Drosophila melanogaster: one gene and its partners. The protein of the gene in region 2 interacts with the protein of the main gene of each other region in a pairwise test. Each region holds a gene or a part of one and is shown on either strand. Other genes may lie near its edges. The genes, in order: Npc2g, CG9632, FoxP and lcs.

Region 1 (4,536 bases), about 15 Mb from region 2:
ACCCCTTTTTTTTTGTCTCATTCGTGTGTTCAATTAAAAAATGGTCACCATTAATTGCTTACCAATTTGCAGTCCGGTCATTTCCTTGCTGCCGTCTCAAGTGTTCGGCACTGGACTTTCCCACTTTTCCTGCTGCCACTTTGATGAGCAGCAGTCCATGTTGACATTTTTTGCATATTAATTGAAGACAAGGCCTCGTCTCCCATCGCCCTTTTCCCTTTCCCCACCCCCGGCCAGTAACCTCGTCCACCCTTGGCTTAATTTGCGGTAAGTTCATTAAGTAATAAAACATAAATTTCAGTTTTGTGTTCTCAACACCCCGTCGTCATCAAGTTCTTGATACTTTTCCCATTTTTTCGCTGCTGTTTTGGTTGTTTTTTTTTTTTTTTTTTTGTTAATGCTTTGCATATTTCTTTAATGAATTAATTCTGTTTTGGTTTCGCTTTGGGTTTCGGTTCTGTTGATTCACCGTTCACTGGACTTTGATAAAAAAAAAGGCACAAAGTCGCCGCGGAAATAAAACTGAGGCACATTCGCCAGGGGAAAGGGGCTCGAATATTTCGTATAATTTATGCGAAAAACATTAGGGAAAACGGAGGAACGCGTTTGTCGAGTGTTAATTATGCTCTGGCTGCAAAACTTTCCTATCAATTTTTGAGAATACAAATTTGAGAGCGCAAAAACATGTTTTGCATATGAAAACAGAGATATGAAAATTGGGGGAAAACAGGGAAAATGTTGCGCTTTGCCAGTCGTTTTCCTCGGCGGCTAATTGCATACTCCTGGGGATTCCCGTATAAGAGTTGAAAAATCGCGCGCATCAAATTGCAATTGCCGGCGAACACTCGAAAAAATCACTATTGATTTGTCGGAATATATGATAAGTGAAGCTCAAGGTCTGATTCCACATCCCACATCTAATTGGTTTGCAATTGCTTTTTAATTGGATCATTGTACCTCAGTTAGCCCTGGTAATTTCGCGCAGTGTACCTTGGGGTTGGACTGCCTTGGGGTGTCAGGTTGTCAATCGCCTCGCCTGTTGTTTGTTGCCCCTGATTGTTGACATGCATTCCCGCAAATGAGCCGTGCAATTGTCGTGCTGCCTCCTATTGACAGCTCCCAGTTCGATAGTCAAATAGTTCGATGCATATGTACATCTCGCGACGGGACCTCATCCTTGGACCCGCGGGATTCGTCTCGAGTTTCAGAGTCGCAGCGTGGAGCACTCCTGCATTTTCACATCTCGGGGCTTCCCTGACTGACAACTGTCGGTTTCCATCTCGGGGTGCTGACACTGAAAAGTGTGACGATTTATTTGTCATATGGCGCGGGGTGCCGAAATCAATTGGTTTTGTGCCCGGCAGATGCCTTAGATCTGCGACACGGGCATTGACAACCTCAACTGGACTTCATTTGTCCTGGATGCGACTGTCATTTGCTTTATATTCAACTCTTCCGTTGGGCTCAGATTCCAGGCTGACTAGTGCTTGTCGGCGGTACTAAGTGGAATTCCATTATAAAACAATTAATTATACTCTATATTTTCCGACATTCGCTGCCTGGTGATAACACTTAGTTCCCGGCTGTTGATAAGAGCTATTTAAGAACTCGAAATTTTTGAAAATTTTGCTTTTCTACTCTAACTATTGGGTTTAATCCATCCGCCTTTAATAAACTTTGGGAATTTGGGTATATTACAATTTTTGTTTGCTTCAATTTTGTGACGTTTTAATACGAACGTCATCCGGTGTTAGAAACTATTTTGAATAATTTGAATTACGTAAGAAACATTGGCATGCTCCATTCTCTAGAGTATAGCATTCTATCGCCACAATCCAATAGACTTTAGCCACTACGTGCATTCCGCGTCCGACTTTCGATCCATCATGTTGCGTCTGAGTTCGCTCCTGCCTGTCGCCTTTGCTCTGGTGTTGTCATCCGTCTCCGCTGAGATAGTCAACTTTCAGACTTGCGAAGATAGTGTGGACTCCTGCTCGATTAGTCAGGTGCGGGTGACGCCCTGTCCGGAAGCCAATGCCAATGCCGCATGCCACATTCGCCGGAGGCACCGCTTCACGATGAGCTTCGACTTTACGCCCCACTTCGATGCGGACACCCTGGTGGCCAGCTTGGGCTGGGCCAAGAGCGAGAACGTGGAGCTGCCCCTGCTTACCATGGACCAGGAGGCCTGCAAGTACACCACCTGCCCCGTGAGATCCGGAGTCACCCAGACCTACACCAACAACATGCCCGCCGACGCCAGGTTCCCGCTGAGTCCATACACCATCCGTTGGGCCCTGAAGGATCCGGTTTCCCAGAAACGTTGCTGCTTCACCATCGACATCAAGGTGGTGCGCTAGCAAGGTGCACTCCGTAATGGATGCTCCACTTAATATTTGGATTAATATATATCTTAAATATCTTCGAAATTAAAGTGATTTACAAGTGGGTCGATACGATAGTTTGGTTTGGTGTAATTAGCGGCACCTGTTTATAATCTGTATACCCAGTAATTGGACTCATTTCACCTTGAATATGTCAGCAGAACAAGGAATGCTGCTGATATGAGTGCCAATTAACACTTTGAAATGACTAATTAGGTAGAGTATGCCAATAAAATATGCGGGGTTACCTAATTTCTTCTAGTTGAAAATATAAATACTCTACTAAAAATGTGGGAACAGCCATAACTTTTTTAATATTTGATCAGAATTTTACAAAAACGTAAAGTGCCGTCTGCGACACCCTTACAATTCTAAGTACATTGCGATAAGGAGCTCGAATCTAATCAGCACGCCTGGAGCCACAGATGTGACCCAGTTCACGGGTCAAACGGGTACGTAGATAAGCCCGGCTTTGAGTCCGAGTCCGAAGTAGAAGTGCCTGCATTCCGTGTCTGGCTTTCGATCCATCATGTTGCGTCCTAGCTCGCTGCAGGCTGTCGCCATCGCCATCGTCCTGATCTCGTCATCCGCTTCCGCCGAGGTGGTCAACTTCGAACCATGTCCGGATAGCGTAGACACCTGTACGATCCAGCAGGTGAGAGTCTCGCCATGTCCGGAGGCCCTCAACAATGCGGCTTGCAATATCCGCCGGAAGCACAACAGTGAGATGAGCTTCGACTTCACGCCGAACTTCGATGCCGACACCCTGGTAGCCAGCTTGGGCTGGGCCAAGAGCGAGAATGTGGAGCTGCCCCTGCTCACCTTGGACAGCGCCGCCTGCAAGTACACACCCTGCCCCGTGAGATCCGGAGTGAAACAGACCTACACCACCCTGGTGCCCATCGAGGCCAAGTTTCCCCTGAGTCCGTACACCATCCGTTGGGCTCTGAAGGATCCCGTCTCCCAGAAGCGCTGCTGCTTCACCATCGACATTAAGGTGGTGCGCTGATTTGTGCCCACGCTGCATGAGCACTAAATTAAATAGTGAAATATACCTTTTTTCCCAAATAAAATAAATTACCGTGATGTTTAAATGATGTGCAAGTTTCTTAAAATACAAGGAGCTATATTGGCTGCTCCCCTGATTGTGGCGAATGCATTTATTTTCTGTTAACGATTTGGTGCGTTTTTTTTAATTATAAGTGAGCCGGCTTACGGCCCACTGGGGAAAACCTCAAGGAATAAAGATATTTACTCCAATAATCATCAACCTGCTGGCGACTAATTTGAACCCCCGGATGCCTCGGGCAGAATGAAAATGTATAAAACTTTGATTGAACTTTTGGGTGCCATTAAAAAGTCTCCCCGCCCTCGGCAGCTTTCCTCCACGGGTCTTATCAGCATCGTCAAACAATTAAAAATTGAGCACTTAAGTTGTGGTCATAAAATCATTTGTTTTTTCTCTTATTCTCCTCTCATTTTTTCCTGCGTTTTATTGTTTTTCTGTTCACATTTTTCAGTGGTGGAAATTCAAATAGAAAATCACTTTTTGCTACTCAGCGTTTTCAAGGCGTGGATGGTGATTTGCTTGGTGGGGATTTGTTTACCAGTTTTTGGTTGAAAAAGAAATATTAAGCGGAACTAGTTATACCGTATTCGCTGGAAAATGTTCTTGATGGGTATCCTATAGTCGGCATATCTAGCCACACGTTTCTCTTTTGCTTCTACTGTTTACCTAAACGAAAACGTCGCAATATTTTTTCGTTGGATGGGAATGGGGGTTTCGGTCAGAAGTCTGATAGGCCTGACCCCAAAAAAGCAAGGCAATAATAACACAAACAACGACAGACACTTGAGCAAATAATAATAATAACGAGAGTAATCACAGAAAGGACTCCAAGAACACATTGTTACTCAATTTGGATGCAGAGTGGCTGGAATCAAATTCAGATTTTGGCATTTGCCTCGCCGTATTTTTTACCCAGCACATAGGGAGTTTTGGTGAGCTCCGAGATGATCCCGCACTTGACCTGCTCGAAACAAGGTGACGCATCCACATAGACCACTTCTCTCCGCTGGCTGAGGTAGGAGCTTAGAGCAGGTTCACTTTTCCGGAACTGGGCCATCTGGCGGTCCACAAAACTGACGTGAG
Region 2 (5,154 bases):
ACCATTTTCTTATCAGAATTTGCGATTACTTTACCATTCCTGGTTTTCAACACACCATCTTATCAGAAATTGTGATTATTTCAATATTCCTTGTTTTTAAAACCCTATTTCGACATACTGCGGGTAAAATATACAGATTATATAGATTTCTTTATTCGTCAATTCTCAAAATAAATATTCAATGTTCATCTAATACTTTACATTCAAGAAATTTTCACAAATTGTCTACGCTTAACCTTAGGTAATAACTAAGCTAAGTTTTTGAGTTTGTAGAGAATGAATATTCAAAGCACAAGGAACAAATTGATTGGGAGTAAGTTTCTATTTACATCTAGAGTTGCCTTTTTTGTTTTTATTTTTGTTTAATTTGAGGTTTGGTTAAATATAAAATTCGCTACTTATGAGTAAGGGGATGGGGCGATTAAAACCTAGGAAACATTTTAGAAGATTTCCCGTACGAATTTCGAATTTGATTCGGTCGACTATTGACTAACCACTAACTTGTTCAACTTGGGTTTAACTTATTATCACAAACAAGTACATTTAATATGCATATGATTACAGTGAAGAGGGAGTCGACTCCCCCCCATACAGCTATGAGTTGATCTTGGCCAGCAGTGGCTGGGTGACGGCACTGCCCGCCACCGGTGGGCACTGCTGCTTGTAGCTCTTCACCAGGAAGCCGTAGTGGCTGCTGTCCGCCGGAATGTTCTGGCCACTGCCGCTCCGTTGCGGACTGGCGGCCACCATCTGTGGAATCGGTGGAGGAGCAGCCAGCGGCGGCGGTGTGGGCAGCAGTGGGGTCTCGTCTCCTTCAGCAAACTTGATCCTCAGCTGCCCACTGCCCATGCTGCCCGTTTCGGGGCCTGGGGAGGCATTGGCCTCACTCCTGGCGCTTGTCAGCAGCGTTGAGATCGTGGGCGAGGGCTTCAGCCGGGTGCGTTGGACACCCAGTGGCGGCGGCTGCAGGATACCGCTCAGATTGGAGCTGGAATTCGAGTGCACATAGCCGTGGCTATTGTTATTGAGGTGATGGTGGCTCTTGAGTGCTCCGCTCAGCGGCAGCCGGAAGTGTGCCAGCTCCCAGCTATCGGAGGTTTCCTCCATGTCCCTCAGACTGCGGCTGCTGTAGATGTCGCAGTTCCTCTGGGCAGCCGCCGCCGTATCCAGATAGTGGTTCTCAGTCTTGTGATAGTCAAAGCCGCCGCCATTCAGCTTGGGTGAACTGGAGCTGATCTTGCGTTTCACGCGGAGATTGGGCGAATCCTTGGACGGCGACGGTGGCGGTGGCAGAGCGATCGCAGGTGGCGGTAACTGGGGTGGTGGCGAGGCCACCACTAGTTCGGAGTACTGCTTGTGAAGATTATGCGATTGGCTGCGCTGCGGTTGTTTCAGTGAGGAGCGACGCGTGAGCATCAGCTTGCTGGGCGAGATCAGGGAGTTGGGGCGGGGTACCTCGCCCTCCAGCCAGTAGGTCAGCATCTCACCTTTGCCCTTCATGGGCACAAATCCGCGGCGTGTGGTCACAAAGGTGCCGAACTCGTCGAGCGCCTCCTTTGTGGTCTCACTTATGTGGATCTTGAGCGCTTCACCATTGGACTCCATTCGGGAGGCAGTGTTCACAGTGTCACCAAACAGACAGTAGCGTGGCATCTTCAGGCCCACCACTCCGGCCACACAGGCACCGGTGTGCAGGCCTATCCTTAGCTTCAACCGATCCTCCGGACGATGGTGGATGCGGAAATTGTGCACCGCCTCCAAGAGGGCCAGTGCCAAACGGGCGATCTCCCGGGCGTGCTGATTGCCATTTCGAATGGGCAGTCCGGACACAACCATGTACGCATCTCCAATGGTCTCCACTTTGTAAACATCAAAGTTCTCCACAATGGAATCGAAACAGGTGTACAGGTCGTTCAGGAACTGCACCACCTGCATGGGCGTGCTCTCCGCCGAGATGGCAGTGAAGCCCACGATGTCACTGAAGTATATGGTCACCTGGTCAAAGGTCTCCGCCACCACTGGCTGTCCGCTGATGAGCTGGGCGGCGACGCTTTGCGGCAGCAATTGGTACAGCAGCTTCTCGCACTTCTTTTTCTCCTCGTGGTAGTCCTGGGTGCGCTCCTCCACCAGTTCCTCCAGATTGTTGGCATACAGTTCCATGCGCTTCAGCAGATTGTCTACAATGTTTCCCGTCTCGTTGTCTCTGTAAAGCAGTCAAAGTTAGTGAGGAATCCATAACTATGGATTCAGTTAGTACTTACTTATTAAATCTGCGTATCATCGATTTCAGGGTATTAAAGTCCGGACGCTCGGCAGGATCCTCTGCCCAGCAGCGACGGATTATGCCATTGATGTCCGCCTTGGTATCACCGTTTGGTTCAAGTTCAGGACGGAATGGTTTCTGCATTCTATGAGGATTGTATCCCTTCACGAGTTCGATTATTTCTGATCGTACGACAAACAAAATAACGTTGAATTAGCCTTCAATTTGGAAATAGTTTTGTGTAAACATGTTATGTAAATTATTCGTGTTAAGTGCAGTTTTATGTTAACACCAGACTGGATCCTTTGGTGGATTCCGAATTCGGACATCTAAACACCGTTCCGCAATATGAGCACGGGAATGGAATATCTGGACTTGGTCAGCTTCTTTGCACATGCAAAGCCTCCGAAACCCCAGGAAATGAGGCCTTGCAACCAGCACGAGATCCTGCTGCAGCTCATCTGCAATCGCCGGCAATCGCTGAGCAAGGCCCAAATGGCTGATCTCCTGTGGAACATGACCAGTGGTCCGAAAAAGAAGCTCAAGAGAAGGCAGTGCGGCGGCATGGACAACCGGAATCCATCAGAACCGACCGATATTGAGGTGGTGTTCGGGTGCAGGGAGAAAACACCACCTTCCACCATTTCGCACAGAGGCTGGGAAAGATCACGCATCGAGTGGCTGCGCAAGCTGGAGGTTCAGCGGAGGCAGTGCTACCAGGCGTGGCAGGAAACACCCGGACCCGATGCCAGCATCAACGCAGGTATGAAGTCCAGCAAGAAGGAGAAGGAATGCGGAAAATCCCCAATAAAGAACACGCCATGCGAGAAACACAACAAAAACCAGAACCAAGCCGGCGGTAGAGAGAAGGACAAGCACAAGAAGAAGACCAGGACCAAGAGGAAGCTACCCGGCTGCTGGGCCTTCCTGCCCTTCGGATGCGGCTTGAACCTCGCCAACGATTCCAGCTGCCAGGACGTGCCCCACCGCAGAGAGAGTTCGTGATTTGCCTTTTTCGACCAGCCAGCACTTTGATTTCGATTTCCAGATTCGCTGGCACCGCAATTAAATTCGCCTACAGACGTCGTCTAGTGCCAGATGCCAAAGTTGCATTCTGCGGCCTAAGGACGAGTCTGATTCCCAGTCACGGCCTAATTTGATGAAATCGTCAAGTGCCAAGTAGAAGGCAAAGTTTTTGAAATCGGCGCGGAACTCGAAGTTGGTCTGCGGTTCAACAGGGCAATGTGTACTTCAACCAGGAAGATAGAACATCATAAAGGCTAGCAACATACATACTTCAAAATACAAGTACTTTGGGTTTCGTGCTTGATGCAGGATCTTTAATTAAATAGAATTGCTAAGCCGAAGGCTCCTATTTTGGTACATTTTTATTAGCAGAACATTTCGCTGACTACTTAATTTGGTCTTTTAAGTTCGTTTATAAAATGATTTGAGTGAATTAAATTTCAGCATCCAACTAATTTTTTAATGTTTACCCTGTTTAAGATTATACAAAAATATTGGCATTGGACACGGGCTTTCACTATTTCGACTGCGTATTTTGCAGTGCTCCTCCTTGCTCCTCCAACCACAACCGCCTTAACCACCAGCCGAGTGGCCAACTGACGGGCGAAATAACCGCAACATGTGCAAAAATCTGGCATTAAAATTCCGCACAGACAAAATCGGCCGCAACACGAAACGGCCAAGTGAAAAGGACACTCGAAGGACGAGAGGAGGGTATAGAATGTGAAACACTTGAATAGCATACCTTGTGGCGATTTCTCGTACGCACATCTGCCCAGGTAGAAGGGTCCTTGTCGCGTGGTTATCTCGTGCACAATGATTCCAAAGGCGTAGACATCACCCTTCTGTGTGCCCTCCGGCGGACGATTGTGCTCCACTCTCAGCAGTTCGGGGGCTGTCCACAAGAGCTCTGTACGGGAAAATAAGTTACATATATATTTAAAATATATTTCGAAACTTGGAAAATAATATTAAATAAAAAAATTTACAAGGAAATTCTTGCTGCATTCAATTAACTTTTTGTTCAGTGCACTGCACACAGTAGCAAACTGGGACTACTTACTGCTCCAGTAGGCGTGGCTATTGCAGTTGCCCCCATCACTTTCCAGGTCGAATCTCGTCCGCCGCAGGGTGTGCAATCCAAAGTCGGTGATCTTGAGCACAAATCGGGAGTCGACCACGCAGTTCGAGGACTTCAGGTTGCCGTGAGACCGAATGTCGGAGCTGTGTAGAAACTGCATTCCACGCACGATGTCGTGCATCAGCGACAGGCGGAACATCCAGTCCAGCTGGAACTGCTCGTTCTCGAGGATATCCTGCAACGAGCCCTTGGGACAGTATTCGGTGAGCAGGAAACTACGCCTCTGATCCAAACACGCGCCATAGAACTTGACCAAGTGGTCGTGCTGCAAGTCCTTCATCCGTTTCAGTTCCAGCATTAAGCTGCGAGTCAGCAGGCCCTGAACGTTGTCCACCTCCACTGGCTTGATGGCCACTTTGCTCTTGCGGAACATGCCCACTGGTATGAAGATTTGGCGATCTCCGTTAATGGACACCATGTCCTCGGACATCAGTGTCAGCTGGGAGCTTTGCTTGACCAGCGAATGGAAGGAGCCTCTCAGGCCACGCTCCGCTGCATCTCGGAACATCACATCCTCCAGCGACACCTTCCAGCTCATCGAGTTAATCTCCGCCTCGGCGATGTAGTGACGATAGCCGAAGAAGAAACACACGGCCATTACGACCACCATGGTGCCCAGGACTATTGACAGGATTGCATACCCAGGAAGTGCTGAAATTAGACACATACATCGGGTTACCATATCTGTATTCAAGAGTTTTCAACGAGAATGTTCAATCCTGAC
Region 3 (8,476 bases), 6.1 Mb from region 2:
CACTTAAGTCGATGAACGCGTCCACATTTCACATAACTTCCACATATAGCATGTAGCATATAGCATATGCTACATATGTCTGTCTTGGGGGCTTATAAAAGAACGCGTATCGTCAAGATTCGGTTAGTTGACTCCCAGCTGTGTGTCGCATCACAGACCAGTGCTAGGATTTTCGTGATTGAATCTGCTTTTTTAAACTTCAGCTTAAACTTTTGATCATCATGGTAAGGATAATAGGCACTTTCAATGATTTAGCTGGACTTTTGAAATTTCGTCGGCTGCACAGAACTATGGATCCTTAAAAGTCCTTATATGCGATTTCATGCAAAACTAGACCATATGGTGCAATATTTATTCATTTTTGCAAGTGATTAATTAATGGTTTTAAAAAATATAACTGCTTGTAAACTATTATCTTAAATGAATACCCAAGAACTTACAGCGATCAAAATTGTTTGTAGCATATGGTCCAAATCACAGATTTGCAACCGGAAGTCCAAAGTTAAATTTTAGAATTACCCAAATTTACAGCGACATGAGTCACATTATTATAAACTCTGTTCCAGAGGGAATGCATTTCGGTTCACATTGGCCAAGCTGGTGTCCAGATCGGCAATGCCTGCTGGGAACTTTACTGCCTGGAGCACGGCATCCAGCCCGATGGCCATATGCCCTCCGATAAAACCGTGGGCGGAGGCGATGACTCCTTCAGCACCTTCTTCAGCGAGACTGGAGCTGGTAAGCATGTGCCGCGTGCCGTGTTCGTGGATCTGGAGCCCACTGTGGTGGATGAGGTGCGGACAGGAACCTACCGCCAGCTGTTCCATCCGGAGCAACTGATCACCGGTAAGGAGGATGCGGCCAACAACTATGCCCGCGGCCACTATACCATCGGTAAGGAGATCGTCGACGTGGTCCTGGACAGGATTCGCAAGTTGGCGGATCAGTGCACGGGTCTGCAGGGATTCCTGGTCTTCCACTCCTTCGGCGGCGGCACTGGCTCTGGATTTACGTCGCTGCTGATGGAGCGCCTGTCCGTGGACTATGGAAAGAAGTCAAAGCTGGAGTTCTCCATTTACCCAGCACCACAAGTATGTCATTTGCATATGGATATTATATCTATTGCTTGAGCATTTATAGAAGACCAATTAACATAATTAGTAAAAGACATGGGAAATTAGTCTTCGAAAGGCAATCTAATAATCGAACTTCCTGTTAGGTGTCCACAGCTGTGGTCGAGCCATACAACTCGATCTTAACCACCCACACAACGCTGGAGCACTCGGACTGTGCGTTTATGGTTGACAACGAGGCAATCTACGACATCTGCCGGCGCAACTTGGATATCGAGCGACCCACCTACATGAATCTCAATCGCCTAATTGGCCAGATCGTTTCCTCCATTACGGCCTCGTTGCGCTTCGATGGCGCCCTGAATGTGGATCTGACCGAGTTCCAGACCAATTTGGTGCCCTACCCACGCATTCATTTCCCACTGGCGACATACGCTCCCGTCATTTCCGTGGAGAAGGCCTACCATGAGCAACTGACCGTGGCCGAGATCACCAATGCCTGCTTCGAGCCGGCCAACCAGATGGTCAAGTGTGATCCGCGTCGTGGCAAGTACATGGCCTGCTGCATGCTCTACCGCGGTGATGTGGTGCCCAAGGATGTGAACGCAGCCATTGCCACCATCAAGACCAAGCGCTCTATCCAGTTCGTCGACTGGTGTCCCACGGGCTTCAAGGTGGGCATCAACTATCAGCCACCCACCGTTGTTCCTGGCGGAGATCTGGCCAAGGTGCAGCGCGCCGTCTGCATGCTGTCCAATACCACTGCCATTGCCGAGGCCTGGGCCCGTCTGGATCACAAGTTCGATCTGATGTACGCCAAGAGGGCCTTCGTCCACTGGTACGTGGGTGAGGGCATGGAGGAGGGCGAGTTCGCCGAGGCTCGCGAGGATCTCGCTGCCCTCGAGAAGGACTACGAGGAGGTAGGCATCGACTCCACCACCGAACTGGGGGAAGATGAGGAATACTAGAGAAAACGTTGTCAACAAATGATACAGCCATTACAACTTTATAAACATCACTTTCTTTCTACCAAATACCAATGCATAAAACAGTTTCGCAATAAAACAGTTTAACACAATTGCTTAAAATGGCTTATTTAAATGGGAAATATTCGTCTTTAGATGGAATTTAACTTTTGTGTTAATAAGAATAAAACTTTCTCATATAAGGAAATTGGTAAATCATATATTTATTGGAAATTACCCCTCCGTAAAAAACCCTACTTATCACTTTCTTATTGCTTTAAATATTAATATTAATTGGGCAAATTAATGTTGACTTTTAAAAGTTTTTAATTTTTGAAATCGTTACGTGTAATGGAGCCTTAGGATGCATTTTGAAACGCATGCGCAAAAATGTGTACACATATTTCTAGCAAATTCAGTAGTCGTAGACGTACCTTTTCAGGAGTAGCAGCGAAAAATATTCTTAAGATAGTTTTTAAGTTTAAATTAATTTTACATATATGTGAAAAGTTGTATTAAAAAATTCGCCCGTTATTAAATATAATATTGTTCTTTGGAAACCTCTGTGAATGTTATTTAATTGTAAATGTACATGCAAAATTGTATCCTCTTTTGTCTGCAAAATTGTATGTGCATGTATGTATTCGCAAAATTTAAGTCTAGTCTGTTAAGTTAATTAAGATATTGTTGAGTAGTCTAGGCAGACAACTTTATCTTAAAAGTCCCAGTTTAAACAGTTCTTATACAGAAATTGTATGATATGTATACATATGAAATATGAATATTTTATTTACCCATATATACCCCTTGGAATAATCAATGCCCCCAACGAATACAGACAATGCAAATCTACACAATACCAACAATATATTTATCTTTATTCGCCTTTACACAAAAAGCTTATGTATATCGAATATAATACTATTTTTTCAGGATCTTCGAATGTGATGAAAACCATACCTCTCTCTTCTCTTTTATATCTTTCTTCTTTTCCTATAAAACATTTAATACTTACATATTTCACCATTTACATTTATTCTTATTTTAGGTGGCTATATAATTTTTCATTACAGGAATTTGATTAAAACAATCGTAAGATGGTCCTATCTGCAAAACTCATATACTCTTCCATTTAAGTTCATCCTATAGCCAAAACGTCCGTCCGTTTTTATATCCGTTTGTCCGTCCGTTTGTATGTCCTTCCGTTTGTATGTCCGTTTGTCCGTCCGTTTGTCCGTCCGTTTGTCCGTCCGTTTGTCCGTCCGTTTGTCCGTCCGTTTGTCCGTCCGTTTGTATGTCCTTCCGTTTGTCCGACCGTTCCGTCTGTATGTTTCTTATGTTATGTATGTTGTATATGTTTCTTTTTAGCAAAATAAGATGTGTCTGGTTTCCTTGCCACCTATGCAATCCCCTTGTGAGATCTTAAACTTGTTATACGCCTAAATATGATAAATGCTTTCTATGAATAACCTTTATATTTACAGATTAACTGCACCGGATGACGTGGCATTTTATTTGTAACATATTTAAAATTAAATCAAACATTTAAAGAATGTTTAATTTAATTTACACTGAATTCATTTAGCACTGGGCCTTTAGTAGGGGTTAAATCTTATATGCGCCAAGTTGTTAAATATTCATAACTTTTGGGGAAAGTATCATCTCAATGATAGTGCGGGAAAATTAAGCTGAAATTAAATAGGGCGTAATAAATAGAAATCCTTAAACTATCACTCTGATTCGGAGTTTTACAGGAATGGCGGCATATGAGTAAAGATAGTTTTATTGAAATGACTCCTAATGACAGACGAAAAAGAGATTATTTCTGTGTATTTGCATATGCCCATCTCTTGGGTAAAGGATCAATGGTAATGATTATAAATTTCAGTTTTAAAAACATGCATCGGATACATGACGACGAGTATTCCGAGGATGCCAAGGAATCGGACTTTAAGAGTTCGATTCAGAAGGAGATATCAGTGAAGTCGAGACACCAAATTTCCATACCAGACATATGCTCAGATGCTGTTAAGAACAATTGTTTTCCGCCGACTGGCTTTCTCAATAACTCGATCACCTTTGCCTCACATGTAGTTAAGTGCAGCTCACCGGCCTCGAGCATCGATGAATCCTCAACGGCGGCCCAGCAGCACGAATCCAATCCACACATGCATATACAGGGTCAGCATATGATGGCTCCCGTTCCCGATCTGGGTTTCTACAATGTGCCCGAGTTCATATCCGAGCAGGAGAAGCTCATGTTCTCCGATGCAGAGAGATTCTTGCGGTCGAAGGATAATGAGGTGTGCAACAATGATTTCAGCTATATGCACGATGAGTTCGCCATGCGGAAGTACTATCATCCGTTATTTGCTCATGGCATATGCCGTTGGCCTGGTTGCGAAATGGATTTGGAAGACATCACATCGTTTGTCAAGTAGGTGGAGTACAATTAGAGGTATGAAATAATTATATAGGGTATGTTATCTAACTAGGCATCTGAATACGGAACATGGTTTGGACGATCGATCAACAGCACAGGCACGGGTTCAAATGCAAGTTGTCTCCCAGCTGGAATCCCACCTGCAAAAAGAACGAGATCGCTTGCAGGCAATGATGCATCACTTGTATTTGTCCAAGCAGCTTTTGTCTCCCACCAAAATCGACAGGAAGGTAAGTCCCTTTTTATGTGAGTAAGTATTGGTATAATGAAAAGTTATAAATATAAGGACGTGCCCGGAAGAGAGGGAAAGTTTTGCCGGAGTCCGCTTACCGTAAATAGCATAGGCCGACCCATCCGACAAACAAATTCACCGAGTCCTCTGAATCTTCCAATGGTTAATTCCACCAACTTGTGCTCGATCAAAAAGAGAAACCACGACAAAAATACATTTTCCATAAATGGGGGTAAGTTTGGGAAAAATTTACTATTACTGTATAAAAATAATAATGGTTTTTGGATATAGGATTACCCTATATGCTTGAAAGAGCAGGTCTTGATGTGCAACAGGGTAAGTAAATTATGTAGACTGATCGTCTTGATGACTATTCGTCTTGTGCTTCTGGAAGACATATAATAAGAATTTAAATTTGCAGAAATCCATCGAAACAGAGAGTTTTATAAGAATGCTGATGTACGACCGCCTTTTACTTATGCTTCCCTCATAAGACAGGTAATTTTAAAAACCAATTTCCTAATATAACATTAATTTATTTTTTTTATATATATTTTATTTATAGGCTATAATTGACTCCCCTGACAAGCAGTTAACCCTAAACGAAATCTACAACTGGTTCCAAAACACATTTTGCTACTTCCGGCGCAACGCAGCTACGTGGAAGGTAAAATGCCCCATATATGTAAATCTTCTTTCCTCCATATTATCTATATATTATGCAACATAACTTTAATTTGAGTATTTATGCTATATGATATGATATCTATGATCTGATATGACCATTTGTCCGTCCGTATAACTCTCGTTTGTCCGATTGGCGTTCCTAGCTTGTCCGCTGTATATATACTATATACTACCTTTTCCACATTGTCCACTACTTTGCCAATATTTAAGAGTATAATAGAGCTAAATACAAGTGATATATAACAAGGTAAGCTACACAGGTCAGATCCTGTTTTATTCCATTTCCTTTTTATATGTCTTAAAATAATCAAATTAAGTTTGGCCTATGCTAACTGATAATATATATCATTAGAACGCAGTCCGGCACAATCTGTCCCTTCATAAGTGCTTTATGCGGGTTGAGAATGTGAAAGGAGCAGTTTGGACTGTCGATGAGATTGAGTTTTACAAAAGACGACCGCAGCGCACTGCTGGCATTGGTAACAATCTAACCGGTGCTACCAATTCGCCGGACACTAACTATTTTGTAGCCATGAACATTGGGTATGTGGGTCTCAAATAGTTTAATTCTACTCACTTTGCTCCAAACTCCTTCCGTTTTGCTCTGTTAGTAAATATACATATGCCATTGCATGCATGCTCCTATATCGAAATGATATAATATGACATTATACGATCTTTTTACAGCGCAAATTGTAAACAGTGATTCTAATCTCTTAGTGGTAGAAACCCAAAATGATGTCCGTCTGCTCATCGATCTGTCTGTCTGTCTGTCTGGAATTTAGCTGATGAAGATTATCCAGGATTTCGCGTGTTATGAAAAATGAAAATAAGAAGACCGAAGACAAATGAACTAACCTTAATATCTCAATGAACTTTTTCTTCCTTTCACGATAATGCAATTTCCTGTTTCTGACTCTTGATGGGGCTCTTGTTTTGTCCAACCAATCATAAAGAATGCGATTCGTACGAACCTTTCCTTACACAAGTGCTTTGTACGTTATGAAGATGACTTTGGCTCGTTTTGGATGGTCGACGATAATGAGTTTGTCAAAAGGCGGCACTTGTCGAGAGGGAGACCCCGGAAATATGAACCGTCCTCCTCCCCAAATTCATGCCAATCCGGCAATGGTGTGCCCACTGATAAGAATCCCTGCGACAATTGTACGCAACATTGCACTAGTTTGCCACCGGGTGCTGATAATCCTCTAGATTCCAATAATCCAAATGATTTAGGCAGAATTGGTTGTCTTCCCTATTGCGGTAGTGATGGTTTAAGTAAAGCGTCCAAGGACTATAGCAATATGGACTCGGGTATGATCGAAAGTAACAGCCACTTGACAATCGATGAATATTCTACTAATATGTACGAGAGTAGTGCCAATGAGCACAATCGATAAATAATATATCATTAACTATACATATATTTAGATGCATTGTCGAGTAATCTGCGTTTGGTAAGAAGGTTCGGATTCGGAAATTATATCTGTACATACACATGGTTCTATGTATAATTTCCCAAATAGAAATGAAAAAATACTTTTAAAATAAATTTCACTAATGCTATAAAATAAACGAAAGAACTACGTTAAATTATTAAAGCAAAATTAATGTGTTTAAACTTGCTTTAATAACTCCACTTATAACACGATTTTAATATACGAGTACAACATATATGAATATTTTCACTTTTCAGCAAGGGAGAAAACATTTAAAAGCTATAGCTTGATAAAATTTTAACAAAACTGTTTTAAAAGTCACAATATGATTTTTTTTTAAGGAAACTATTTTCAGGTATACCTTCTGTTAAAAATCTGGACCCTTGAGAGCTTTAGATTTGGAAACTCCTTAGTAAACGTATATGCTTTTCTGCTGACTTATCTAATTTCCTTCTAATTTAAGATCATTAACGATACTCAGTGACCTAAATAAATTCCTCAAATATACAACAAAGTGAACAAACTGAATTTTATTTCTAGTTCCTAAGCAAACGGTTTACGCGACGTAAAAGCGGTTAAATCGGCTTCTCAAAAGTTTGTCAATCAAAGTTTTCTACCAATTCATTATTTTAAAGCGGTCTTTAGTATATTTTAGTATATTCTATTGGAGATTTTTTGGACTGCCACTATTTAAGGAAAAACAACCGATAAGAATGGACGCATTCGTGAACTTCTGTATCTTAAATTTAATAAAATATATACAGCCTAAGTACACATATTGTAGTCAATGTCAATTTAATTTGAAAGTAAAGTTTTTGTTTACCAATAAATTTGTTTGGAGAATGTATCGATACCGTCGAATTTTCCGGCAACCATCGATACAGTCGGGCGGCATCGGTTTTCGTCCCAGCTCTAGCCAGTACGGTCACTCTGAAAGTCTCTCAACGTTTTGTGACATGAAAATTCAACGAGGACACTGTGTACATGAATAGTTGAAAAATTAAAATGGTTTCCATGCAATTTGTTTTGCAACCGCTACCGGGCTCGGACGATCAGTTTATTGAAAGGTAAATATAATCCTCGCGTACCGCAATTACGCACATGTGAACGCGGAATTCCGTGTAATTGTGTACGTACGGCTGCATGTATTTGTTATGTGAAAATATGTAGGTACGCAGCTATATGTATACGCAGGAAGATATGTACATATGATCATTAACGTAAAACGCGAGCCACAGACACTGGCGGACTTACCTCATCTAGTGCCGTCCACGCGGTTCTGTAAACATTAGCCGCAGAATTTGCGAAATGCACTTGCGTTTCCCACTTTTCATCCACAATTAATTCTCTAACCATTCGCATATGTGTGTGTGTGCGAATGTGTGCGACATGTGAACGGTAGCATGTGTGAGTGCATGTGCATACATGCTGATTAATTTGTTCATATTTAACTATTTGTGCTGAGCAAACTATTGAAATGTTTATATTATAAGCTTCTCGAAAGAAGCTTGCAGAAGTCCATGCTTCCGACTAAAATGTACAATGTTACAAACATGTTTTCACATGCTTGATTTGTACATTATATTTCGCCGAATGTCGCTCTTTCAGCACATGGCATGAAATCGTTCAGCGTTTTC
Region 4 (4,436 bases), on a different chromosome or scaffold from region 2:
CAAGGGCAGCCCAGCACCTGTTAACCCTAGTCTGGGAACGGTGACGTTTCGGAGGAGTAACCCTCCACGGGAGATCGAGTGTAAAATGGACGAACAATAAAGATCAAGGAAATAAAAGGTACTAAGTGTTCGTTCCTATACCAAATCTTAATTTTTTTAGCTTTTTTAGTTCCGGATATAACACCGTTCGTATGAACGGACAGACGGACGGACTGACGGACGGATGTTTTCAAAGAACTCATTTAGGGTATCATTTCTACGTGTGTAAAGCAGCTCTAAACAGCCATTGTTCTATACCGGCATTCTCAATTGCACACTCGCGCAGACGCTTCCACACTCACACACACACAGAGCCAGAGGCATTTGAAAAAAGTGTAGACAAATAACAATTGAAGCAACAAGACCAAAAACTTAATTAAGCATTTTGTTGTACGATGCTGCAACAAAACAAATTCCTCTTTAAATAAAGCACCGAAGCAATTTATTCCAATTAACAACAACAACTTCATGGTATGCATATGTGCGAGCGAGCGAAACGGTGAAGCCGGAGAGAACCGAAACGCTACTGGCATCGGATGGAAATAATTGAACAAAAACACTTTTCAACACTGCAAATGACAGTTGCGTAAATTCCTAGAAAATATTCGGGGTCGTTGGTTGCTGAGAGAACGATGCATGTAAATCATACTATTAGAAAGAAGACGAACTTTGTATACAAACAAAAACCTTGATGAAATTTCACTTACCTCCACGGCCAATAACGTTCGCTTTTATTTCTAGAACATTTGCGTAGCCAAAAAAAAAAAATAAGAGGAAATACATATCACATACACCAGTTACACCAGTAACTATTTTGACAAAATAGCCTGCTTCTTTTAAAACTTACTTGCGCTTGACATTAACAAACAGAGCGAAACGATGAGCATTTGCATTGCTCATGAATGATGAATGAACATTTAGCACACCAAATGCAAATTTGTTTACGGCTTACCCATTGCATTCCCTTTCTACTTACAAGAATGCACGCAGACAACCATTTACTAAATGGTATCCTGCTTTTGAGCTTTAATATATTGGTTATTATTATTTTTTTTTTTTTGGTTATTAAACGTTATTAAAAACAAAAAAAATAATTAATAGGTATGTGTAAAAAGTTAAGTTTGTTTATTAGATTAATGGATTAATGGTAGCACAATTTAACGTTGGAATTAAAGTAAAAAAAACATTGCGAAAGAGTTTAATTTGTCACGCCATTCTGTGTATTATCAAATTAAAAAGTTTTGAAAAATTTAAAAAGAACTAAACCTAGGCGCAAAACAACATTCGCTGACGACAGAATCCTTATACGGGAATTTAAAAAAATCCTCTTCCAAAACACCAATCTCAGTGGTATCTGACCACCAGCCTTCCGAAAAGAGAGGAAGGATCCAGAGATCCTTTACAATTTGGTGGATTCAGTAAAGGACCGACTTCAAAAAGTTATTTATGCCAAAGGTGGATATATATTTTATTAATTGGTTCCCTACTCCTAAGCTCCAGCTTCAATTAAACTTATTTACTGAGGTGTTAAAGGCTTGTCAAAAACTTTAAGCCAATACAAAAAATCATCATATTTCATTAAATTGTTTATATATTTTTAAGTTTCGTTAGTTAATTTTTAAATTTATGTTACTTACACACAACAACAAAAATCATTGTTGTCATATCAAAATATTTTAAAGTTTTACTGCGTTTATATTGTCAAAATACTTATGCCGACTAGTGTACATAAGCATATACATAGATGTATCGTCACATTATATTGAGTTTTGAGTAAAGCACTAATAAGTGGTAAGTGGTAATATAGCCCCAAGAGGATTTTTTTACTATCGACATATAGTAAGAATGCACTGAATTCATGTTAAGTAAGTCATTTCTGTAGTATTAACAACTTAAAGATTTATATAATAGACTTTCCAGAATTTCTTACGATTTCTCTTTCCTTAGTTGTTTTCAACTTTACGTGTTTGCAAATTTGACTTTCATTAAAGCCTAACGGAACCACTTGTTCAAACATCCTTATTCTTAGGTAATTCACACTCTTGTCAAAGACACGATTGATGGTTTATAAACATCAAGTCCACTGACGCCTGGCCACAAAGTTCATCACATATGGATGGAGCGCAAATATTTAGCTAGATAATGGCTCACGGAACTTGCTGATTCCTTTATGTAAGATCCATAAAGCAATCCAAACAGCTGGTAGAAATTATTCGTACTTTACTACCATAAGGTAAAAGCATTGTTAAGTTCTGAACTGAAATAGTTTTAGATGCAATTGATTTTAAGACGCATTTATCCAGCATTCAATTTTATAAAACTTTATTTTCAAATATGTGTAATAGTACCATTTCAATATGAATAATTTATTAAATTCAGAAAAAATAGAGAAGAGTATATATTTTTTATAGACTCATTAACAAAGCTTTGTAACCAACAATTTTGGAAATAAACCTAAACATGAATCAACCATTGTCTACAAACTCATATTCTTTCCATCTGACAGAACCCCAGAGTGAAGGCCAATGTCAATTGCGAAGTGACTGACTTGGAAAGTGGAATTTACAAATCCACACTGACGTTAGTTTGCTCAACGCGCAAACGTCACCGATGGAACACATGTGCCACCGAGACTTTTAGCAGACGGTGGGTATATATACCGATGCCAAGTAATGCCGAGATCAGTTCGAGTCGTTAACTATCAGATAACGAAATGCGTACCCTTATCCTTGTTACTCTTGTTGCCCTGGTCGCAGTGGCCTCCGCCCAAGGACCTGGTCCTTGGGGTCCCGGTGGACCTGGTGGACCTGGTGGACCAGGTCGTGGTCGCGGAGGACCAGGACGTGGACCTGGCGGACCAGGTGGCCCAGGAGGTCGCGGACCTGGAGGACCTGGAGGACCAGGAGGCCCAGGAGGCCCAGGAGGACCAGGAGGACCAGGAGGCCCAGGAGGACCAGGATGCCCAGGAGGACCAGGTGGACCAGGAGGCCCCAAACCATGGGGACCTCCATCCAACCAAACCACATCCACGACAACTGAGGCCTCAACAAGCACTTCCACCACGACAGCTTCGTCCACTACAGTGTCCTCCACTACAGAGTCCTCTACGGAATCCTCGACGGAATCATCCACAGCATCCTCCACAGAATAAATCGCTTGACATGTTCCCCTTCGAGTTTTGCCCATTCGGCTATTCCGGGTTCATAAATAATTGTATATATCAAAAAGCGAATCTGTGCGTAATAAATTTTTTTTTTTAGCTCAATCGTGATTTTTTTATCTAAGTTAATCCTTGAATGCCAAATAGTTATCCAAAGGATCTTCATCCATGTTTGGCTTATGATCAACTTGATGTATCAAGCCAGAAGGTACATGCGAGTACCACGCGAGCCATTTAATTACTTCGGCCAATACTAAAACTTTTCGTGAGTTAAGTAATTTTAGAACAATTAGTTAAATGGCATTATGCAATGCCAGTGCTAAATTATCCACTGGCGATTAGGAAGTGCATTGAGAATTTGAAGCAAATCATTCCCCGGGCCAATTGGAATCGAACTTATTCGAGCCGGCCTCGTTTCTCGCTTGGGTGAAAGCCAAATTGTTTACCAATTAAGTGCATTTGGTCAATTTGCGACAGAACTGGCGCTAGTGGAATCCAAGAAGAAGGTACAGAAGCTTAAAAGGATGAGCCCGAGGAGCAGCAACTGGATTAGGAGGCATTAAAAGTTATAAAACAACAAGATTATGGCTTTGCCATAACGAACACACACGCATTCACTCAACTGGTTATGTGCCAGTGAACAAAGGCGTTTAGGGTGTCCTCTAATAAATACTCTTGTTTTCAGGATGTGTTTCCAGGTCTACGGTTTCTTATAAAAAGAAATTTGAAAAAAAAAAACACTTTAATGTATGTGTATGAGTAACGTGCTATTTCTCAGTTCTGGTTACTTTAGATATTGAATATAAGCCACTCCAAAATGTTGCATTCTTGGATTGGAATGATATGTATTATACAATAAATTGTATGTGATAAGGAACGATTGAAGTGTATATGATTGTGACAGTTTAAAGCATTATGGCTCATTAGTATTAGCATGTAGATAGCATGTAGAAGAATTTGTGTATATATACATATATACATATACACATACATACAGTATGTACATTCGCTTCTGAATATATAAAGTATATATATTCTTGATCAGAATCAATAGCCGCCCACAATTTTTTTACATTTTTATTAGTCTTGTAAATTCCTATCGATGTACAATAAAAAACTTTTTGCCACGACCACTCTAACGCCCTAAAACCGCACAAAACTGCCACGGCCACATTTTTGAACCATTTTTCGATATTTTATCGAAAATAACTCTACGAACTCGACTATAAGATTCCCT

Evidence for each region.
Region 1: the proteins of CG9632 (region 2) and Npc2g interact in a two-hybrid assay, tested with the Drosophila melanogaster proteins (one large-scale study listed by BioGRID).
Region 3: the proteins of CG9632 (region 2) and FoxP interact in a two-hybrid assay, tested with the Drosophila melanogaster proteins (one large-scale study listed by BioGRID).
Region 4: the proteins of CG9632 (region 2) and lcs interact in a two-hybrid assay, tested with the Drosophila melanogaster proteins (one large-scale study listed by BioGRID).

What each region holds. Positions count from the first base shown.
Region 1 is NT_033777.3:30,743,611-30,748,146, reverse strand, and holds Npc2g (Niemann-Pick type C-2g), read left to right. Parts: upstream 1-2,883; 5' UTR 2,884-2,913; coding exon 2,914-3,393; 3' UTR 3,394-3,542; downstream 3,543-4,536. Other genes in the region: Npc2h (Niemann-Pick type C-2h), read left to right, coding at 1,887-2,360; CG15543 (uncharacterized protein), read right to left, coding at 4,331-4,536.
Region 2 is NT_033777.3:15,857,737-15,862,890, forward strand, and holds CG9632 (uncharacterized protein), read left to right. Parts: upstream 1-2,459; 5' UTR 2,460-2,611; coding exon 2,612-3,268; 3' UTR 3,269-3,742; downstream 3,743-5,154. Other genes in the region: CG31183 (uncharacterized protein), read right to left, coding at 595-2,203, 2,262-2,445, 4,035-4,199, 4,353-5,081.
Region 3 is NT_033777.3:9,724,894-9,733,369, reverse strand, and holds FoxP (forkhead box P), read left to right. Parts: upstream 1-2,497; 5' UTR 2,498-3,936; coding exon 3,937-4,475; intron 4,476-4,533; coding exon 4,534-4,711; intron 4,712-4,767; coding exon 4,768-4,945; intron 4,946-5,004; coding exon 5,005-5,049; intron 5,050-5,134; coding exon 5,135-5,211; intron 5,212-5,278; coding exon 5,279-5,380; coding exon of another isoform or gene 5,381-5,443; exon of another isoform or gene 5,444-5,752; coding exon of another isoform or gene 5,753-5,962; exon of another isoform or gene 5,963-6,219; intron 6,220-6,356; coding exon 6,357-6,800; 3' UTR 6,801-7,350; downstream 7,351-8,476. Other genes in the region: alphaTub85E (alpha-Tubulin at 85E), read left to right, coding at 222-224, 567-1,091, 1,220-2,041; hyd (hyperplastic discs), read left to right, coding at 7,845-7,906.
Region 4 is NC_004354.4:21,395,597-21,400,032, reverse strand, and holds lcs (la costa), read left to right. Parts: upstream 1-2,716; 5' UTR 2,717-2,752; coding exon 2,753-3,190; 3' UTR 3,191-3,306; downstream 3,307-4,436.